Neodiprion lecontei: one gene and its partner. The protein of the gene in region 2 interacts with the protein of the main gene of each other region in a pairwise test. Links are inferred from orthologs where the notes say so. Each region holds a gene or a part of one and is shown on either strand. Other genes may lie near its edges. The genes, in order: filamin-A and teneurin-m.

Region 1 (3,928 bases), on a different chromosome or scaffold from region 2:
TAAACAATTTTGCTTAAATAAACAATTGTCCTTGTTCTTGCTAGCGCCGTACGGACTATTGCATCACATATCTAAATACGGAGACCGCAATCTATGCGGTCGCCGGTCAGCTTGCGGTAAGGTCGGCAAGTTAATGAAGTTCTGATAAATGTACTGAAGAGTTATTCTGTAAATTGCGAATACATGTTACGTTGGAATCGTTGTTACGTAGCAATTATAAAATATTTAGCATGTATAAAGGCTTCGATGAATGAAAACACCGTGGACCGACCACGTTTATATGAAAAAAAAACCTGTTCTGTAGCCCAACTCTATAGATTTTGGTAGAACTGTATCATTTCTGTGCACCGATAGATGCCCACATTGTGATATGCATACCGCGTTAATCTGCAGGCTTAAGATTCTTGACGATCTGCAATGCACTGAATTTTTTTGTGGTTCACGTGGCGGAAGGTGTCCGACGTCTTCATAGAATAGAGTCTTATTGTCTAACAATGAATAGCGTTATCCTGATACCCGCGTTCTTCAGGCAACTGGAATAAGGTGGCGTGTCACTTTTCTTTACATGAATATCATACAGCAATTGTTGCGCAAGCGAACCCGCAACGAGGAACCCGAGCTCAGAAACAAACTTGGAAAATAATTTCGCAATCCTATTGAGTAACAAAAATCTACTCTAAGTCACAATTTTAGAAAACATAGGCAAAAAGTATCCCTACTTTGAATTAAAATAACTCGTAAGCTAATGCTCTATTTAATCAGTTAACGCGAATATGACAGTCTATTAGCTTGATCCGACTATGTATAGACCGTTCGCATTCACGACGCCTAAAAATATGCAACCGAACTATCATACCATCCGTTTTTGTTTCGTTAAACCTTGAAAAACCTCCAGACCACACCTGATGATGCGCAACCGAACTATGGTACAATCTGGTTTTGTTTTGTTGGTCCTTTCAGATCTGCGTCGTGCTCAAAAAGATGCCAGTTTAACGGACCTCCTGTTCTATTATAAAACGACGTACAGCATGAAAAATTTTAATTTTCTATCAGACTTGATTAACTGAAAAAGATAGCATCTGCAATATATAACGGGAAGAATTTACGATATTCTGCTTTTCGTTTTCCGTTTTTTGTATATCGACCGGGAGAACAAAGATAAATAGCTGAGTCGGTTTTTTATTTTTTTTTAAACGTAAAATTGTCTCGAAATAGACCCCTGCTCACTACAGCCCACGTACAACTATCTATACGAATGTAGACAAGGTTTTTCGAGATACCAAAGAAGATTCATTCTGTCATCATAAAAATGAATTTTTCATTCTGTCGTATAATACTGCGCAAGAGCGTCTAGGTCAAAATAGAATTTCGCATCACCAGTACAGGTCTCAAATTTCGATATCAGCGGCTGTAGCGAAATTTCGCGATCCTCAGCCATGATACAGTTTAAAGCGTTGCAAAAAGCGTGCAAATGTCTAATGTTATTTAACAGAAATTAGCGACTGTCATGATTCGCTTTCATTCAGAAAAATGTATCACAAAAACCCTAGCCGCAGTGATTCTTGGAATTGAATTGATAATTTCAGTACACATATGTCCATGTGTGTTTACTATACGCAATACAACGAAACAGCGGCGAGTCGAGTTGAACAGGTGAACCAAATATTACGGGCACTTGCAAAACAAACGAATAACGTCTGGCAGCTATAAACGGTCACTCACTGCATAGTCACGTACAGTCGGTGAACTTATCAATCGTGTATGTATTGGAATACTCGGGATGATTTTACTTAAGATTGAAACACTTCTTCTGCAAAATATTACGGTAAAGAAAATATGCCGAGCTTAAAATCGAAAGGAAAATACTCAAACTGGCGTAGAGCCCATCATGATCATCATCGTGATCGTCAACAATCCGCGGTTATTTCACACTCATTCTGATAAAGAAGTTTTTTCACAAAACATGGTCGAATCTATACGAGTATCTTCTGGTCCCAATCGGGGTTAAACTTACACCTGTAAGCCAGAGTGTTTCGCAAGATTCGTTCTAAGATTTTCACCTCACCTCAACTGGTACGACTGGAAGCTGATGCTGCTGTTCTGATGAGCACTTTAAATCCAATTTCTTGAGTACCCGTCGATCGCTGTGGCTAGATAAAGACTGAAAATGTGTAAAGCTCGGCAAAGCTCGACCTGGAGGAAGTGGTCTGCTGATACGTGGGCTGGTCTCCTACGGTACGGTCAAGTTTTTGGTGAGTTCTTGAGCGGATCACTCTCTGGCGTTAACTGTCGGTATTACCAGCGCGAAAGCAGATCCAACTGAAGTTTGCCAAGAATAGAACGCCGCTCCTCGTTCTTACCCTTCAGGGACTGCGGGGATGGCTATATATACATCTATATACATATACACGACGAACGCGGTATGCCACATACAAATGGTCGGTCAGATTTTTCAACGAAAGTGTGAGTGTGAATACGTATGACTATGGGGACAAGCGAGTCAACCAGGCGCCAGCCGTGACGTACCTTCGTGGAAGGAGCCGATGCAAATCAGGGTAATTCCTTTTTGCCCGCCGCAGCGACTTCCTTGGCGCGTTTACGTTTACAATTGCGTTTCATGAATTTCTCCTACCGTTCAAGCAAGTGCAAATGAAAAGTTGCCAGGGAATGATTTTAGGCATCTGCATGAAAATTTGCGGATACTTTTTCCGCGGATTCATTCTAGCGTTTCTATTATTACGTGCAACTACTCTTTGCACGTTTATACTCTCGAAACTATATTTGAAAGCTTTGTACTATTTAGTGCTTATAGCCTGAAAAATAGTTCAAAGTCAGGCCAACTCGAAACAATGACCAAGTCTGTGACTCGCTTCTCACCAGATTCCGTGACGTCGCGATAACGCGATTCATCGCCTAATTTTAATTCTATGTTCGAGTTAAATTTGTGCCGCAGGAGGATCCAATGATTTATTTCGGTTCTTAGCGTAAACACATTGACCTAAAGCCAAAATCAGTCGTACATTCATACCCAATTCATTAACTCTCTACGATTCATTTTTTATAATAAATATTACTATTATTATTATTATTATAAATGAATAATGTATATTTTTTTATAAATATCTCAAAAGCGCTCTTCACCTACTAAAAAAATATAGCTTCATATGAATACTGTAATGCTGAATAGAACATGGTCACTTTTTAAAGTTTGTATCAGGAGTCCATGACCAGTATACCATTATATGCTCAACGACTGTAAGTATCCTACCACAATATGCTGTTCGCACTTATCGCGTCATGCTGTGTTACCTCTTTTGGTAATAGTCTACATTTGCACAATTTATATCAGCTTTATACTTGTATTATACGTATACATATACAGCAACTGTTGAATGTTATCTGCCTACCACGTTAAAGCTGACGCAACACGAATATGTGCGTGCATCTCGAGTCCCGTATACCTATAAGCTCATTGTCAAAGGTCCGAAGAAAGCCTAACTGCGCGAATTTTGGGCGAGGATATAATCTTCTAACAAATCTCGCCAATAATATCCTTCATACACAGCGGGTATATAATTCCTTATCATGTTTCTTTCAAAAGAAAGTAATCTGTCGAAAGTGTTGGATGGTTTTTTATTCCACTAGACATGCAGAGCATTTACTTATCATCTTCTTATGGTGGGGGCGACGGATGACGTGAGTGTCGGTCGATCCCCAGGGCATTACTTAGCTTCGAAAGTCGGTTGGAAATTACAAGCCCTATATGGGTATGAATGAAATGACTGCAAGCTAGTAGCGAGTCCGAGATCAGTCGCGCACACGTATACAGTACATGTTTCAACCTTCTCCTAACTTGGCATTCGAATATAATTATTGAACCCTGCTCGCTAGACGATGTTTATAAACGATTTCTACTCTAAGTTTGGTT
Region 2 (3,928 bases):
ACTCATTACGTTAACCAACATTGAGTCACTACTTACAAGTGCAACGCAAAGAACCGGAAGATAAATAATGCTGCCTGTGTAACGGTGTGATAGGACAAGCAAAGAAGCACTGTTAGCTAAAGCGATAGTGTAAAGGTAGAGTAGGAAGAAAAGAAAGTAAAAAAAGTAGAGAAGTTAGAAAACAAGACCTCACCTTCGAGAATCAGTATAGTGGGCTCTGGGGGAAGTGGAGTTGTCCCAGTGCACCAAAAACCTTGAGTAGTCATCTCCTCCGAGGAGTATGTAGTCGACTCGCTGAAGTTCAAATCCGAAGTACTACTTAACCAAGATTCTGTCGTTGACTGAGTGAGGTTCAAATCCGAAATACTACTTAATGAAGACTCTGTCGTCGACTCCTCAACGTCTGACAGACCTTTCGAACCATTTATATGAAATGAATTATTAATATTCTGGGAGTAATCTTCGGAGCTGGTAAATGAGTCAGTGTCCTCGTAGAAAGAACCGAAGTTGTCATTCTCAGAGTCGTTAAATAAAGCATTTTCGAAAGAGGTAATTCCGTCTGAAAATTTGTCCTTCTCATCAGATTCCATGCAAGGACACGAGCATTCGCATTCCCCACCCCAACTCGGAGGTGGTGATGTCGGGGGTTGGGGCGGAGGTGGAATTAGGGTGGTAGTTTCATCGGCACGCGAGTTTTCCACAACGCTCGACATTGCCTGTTGCCCCGACAATTGCATTGGGCTGATGTTAATTCCGGGAAAATTGTTAGTTTGGCCATCGGTTGGTACGGATACGGACAACATGTACAACGGGCGCGAAGCTTTATTCGAATCAGCGGTTCCCTCAAAATCGTCCGTCGAAATTGTCACGTTTACAAGTACTCGTCGCGATTGTCGCTGCGATTCAGCGCTTCTGGGCACCTCTACGACGTGTACTTGATGCGTTAATGGATGTTCAGGAATGCTGTTTGAGTTAGATGCGACAGAGTTTGCGTTAGATGATTTCGTAGTTTCATGCTTTTCATGCAACGAGCTATCGCAGTTATTGTTAACTGTGTCCGACCTCTGACTAAGCTTCGTCGGCTCGTGTTGAACGCTGTTCTCACTATCGTCCTCATCGCCATTCAAATTACCCGTATTATCTCCAAACTGCTCACTTCCAGCATTCACAACCTGCAGACTCTCCTTGCGTTTAATTTCTGGAACCTCGGGATTATTCTTCTCCTCCTCCTGAATTCTTACTTCGTTAGTTGCCAAGTTTGAGGCGGATTTTATTTCCTGGTCTGGTACGCGGGCTATCTTGGATTTCACAGTCACCCCGACCTTCTCCTGGTCTAGTTTTATTATCTTTACTTCGTCCTGGCCATAACTAAATACTGGATAATCCCGCTGTAGCTCCTCTGATTTCTCCGGCACGGTTGTAATGCCGGGTGAAATTCCACTGGTAACAAACTCCGACGAGGAATCTTCGCGGGACAATTCTCTCGTTTCTTTTATAACCCCGGAAGACTTCGCTTTTTCCAAACCGGCTGACGTTTCGTTTGACCCTTTGAAAATCGCCTCGTCATTTTGACTAATTGTCGCATTTATCCGTTCATCAGTTTTTCGATTAACTTTTTTACTCGGCGGTTCTATCGCTTCAATTTCAGCGGAAGGCCCTTGCTGTGCGCCTTCTTCTTCTTCTTCTTCTTCTTCTTCTTCTTCTTCTTCTTCTTCTTCTGAGCTATGAGCATCGCTATCTATCCGAGTTACTACTAAAGGTAATGCCAGTGGTAAAACTTCATCGTTTGCTTTAGCGTCAGTGTGGAATAACGACATATTGACAAACCCGACGTTATCATTATCGGAGAATAAACTACCATTACTTGAATCTATATGCTTACTGTCCAAACTAGATTTATCTACTTCATCTTCTACATTTTCGCTACTGTTTTGTTCTGGCGGCTTATCAAAATCCAACCTCGACTCGTCGTTCCCGTTAAGGTTAATAGATGCCGGATAATCAATACCGGGCGTATAGATCGTCTCCACATCACCGCTGCTGCTAGCGTTGCCTTTATCAACTTCCACGTCCGAGAATGAACCATTTGTTGTCGGATTCCCATCGAGTTTCGGTATCATTTCGGGTATCCCAGGAATTTCCATTTCGTCAGAGTTATCGGGTATTGACCAATCTGTATAAATCTCTGTGCTGACCTCAATTTTTTCATCAACAAACGTTTCAACGCTTGCATACCTACTCACAGCGTCGTCATGAGCAGTTTGAGATCCGTCGGATTCAGGCGCGATTTCTACCGAAGCAATTGTGCTCGGATCGGGGTCCTCCGAAGAAGTTTGAGAAAGAGGATTGACAGTGTTCGTGAGGTTCGCAGAATCGAGAAAAGAGTTAGTAGAGCTAGAGACATTCACATAAAGCACTGGCCCGATGGTCGACGATCCTGACTTTGGAGGTTCCGTTTTTGGCGCCGACAAAACCGGCCCACTAACCTGCACGTTTTCATGCCCACTTAGCTCAGCATGCACACTCCTACTTATATCTTCATGCAAAGAGATCGTTGTCGGTGATTCGGGCTGTGCTGATTCCACGCCAACCTGACCGGTACCAGTGCTTGGGTAAGGTTTTGGCATTTCTGCAGACGTGTCTGAGGCTTGGGAAGTTTGGTGCAACACTGGGGCATGCTGGTTAGGTGTGTCTCTACGCTTGCGGGTGTAAACAGGGTCTAAATTATTACCTCCTGATGACGATTGCTGTCTCGGCCTGCTCGACGACGTCTTGTTCGGCTCTGTGCTCGCCGGCTTCGATTCTGTATTTTCGCCAACGAGAACGGTGCACGCTTTCGTGCCTTGGTTCCAGTTCACCATGTTCGACGCTGCAAGCAAATGCATTCGACAAATTAGTATCCCGCACTGCACTCGGGTCGCTCTGCCTGACGTGTCGTCAGCTGTAAAACATCTCGTTACCTGCAACGTAGGTGAGGGCTGCCGTCAAACAGAGGGAGAGCATGATCACCACGATGGCAATCAGTTTCCAACTGCACCAGTCGATACCCTTGCGGAGCTGGCATCTGAAGCTCTGCCGCCTCATTGGAATCATCGACGGACCGTGGCCGTAGGGTAGCGTCACTCTGGAATTGTGAATAACGTGAAATTGTTTGGAGGCAATTAGCGTGGCGATGGTAACGCGAGCGAGGGACGTTGAGTGGTGGTGCGAGTAAGATAAACAAGGGAAAAATTGGGCCAGCTTGTTTTTCCTGAATGGAGTTAGCGCGACTCTCGAGGCTTTATCGTAAATTATTCTTCGGGGAAGTGGAAACCTGAAGGAAAACTTACGAAAGTCCAAGAAAAATATTTAAACGAGATATAGTCAGATTCCGAGCGAAAGAAGGCAGGTCCGTTTGTCTTAGTTTTCAGAGCCACGACGCGACGCAATAAAGATGATCAAAGCCAGACCACTTCACTGCCGGCCTTCAAGTAGTACAAACAGTTTTCGCGCCGGCAACACTTCCCTGACTTTTCGGGCTTGTGTAAAACTCGAAAGAGAAACTGGGACTGGGATATATGTATACCCATACGTTCTGTATTGTATACTTTGTTACAAAGTCCTCGATACACGGACCCGAGGATGTTCCCGAACTCTTTCGAACTTGCGGACTGACCGCGTTCTGAAGTGTCTCTCCGAGGAAAAGCGGGAAGGAGACACTTGTGAAAGGTGAGTATACCGCCGCCGGAGGAATCCAAGCACCGAACGACACTTATAGCGAGGAACGGTACGTTATTCGAATTCAAAAGTGACAATTGCCATTCACCGACGTTGACTCATTCAGCCCGTATAACAGCCACAACTCCAAAAGCCCGATGATTCATGACGTTGTCAAGTCCAGCAAGGACTTGGCAACCTATTATTTGTTGTTTCGTAGGACCAGCCCAAC

The links.
Region 1: the proteins of teneurin-m (region 2) and filamin-A interact in binary tests that used the Drosophila melanogaster proteins (3 or more experiments, as listed by UniProt). The link is inferred for Neodiprion lecontei from reciprocal best matches to the Drosophila melanogaster genes Ten-m and cher.

Annotation. Positions count from the first base shown.
Region 1 is NC_060264.1:36,041,831-36,045,758, reverse strand, and holds the start of filamin-A, read right to left. Parts: upstream 2,298-3,928; 5' UTR 2,066-2,297; intron 1-2,065. UniProt on the Drosophila melanogaster protein: Involved in the germline ring canal formation. May tether actin microfilament within the ovarian ring canal to the cell membrane. Contributes to actin microfilaments organization.
Region 2 is NC_060265.1:4,840,247-4,844,174, reverse strand, and holds the start of teneurin-m, read right to left. Parts: upstream 2,508-3,928; 5' UTR 2,145-2,507; coding exon 194-2,144; intron 1-193. UniProt on the Drosophila melanogaster protein: Involved in neural development, regulating the establishment of proper connectivity within the nervous system. Acts as a homophilic and heterophilic synaptic cell adhesion molecule that drives synapse assembly.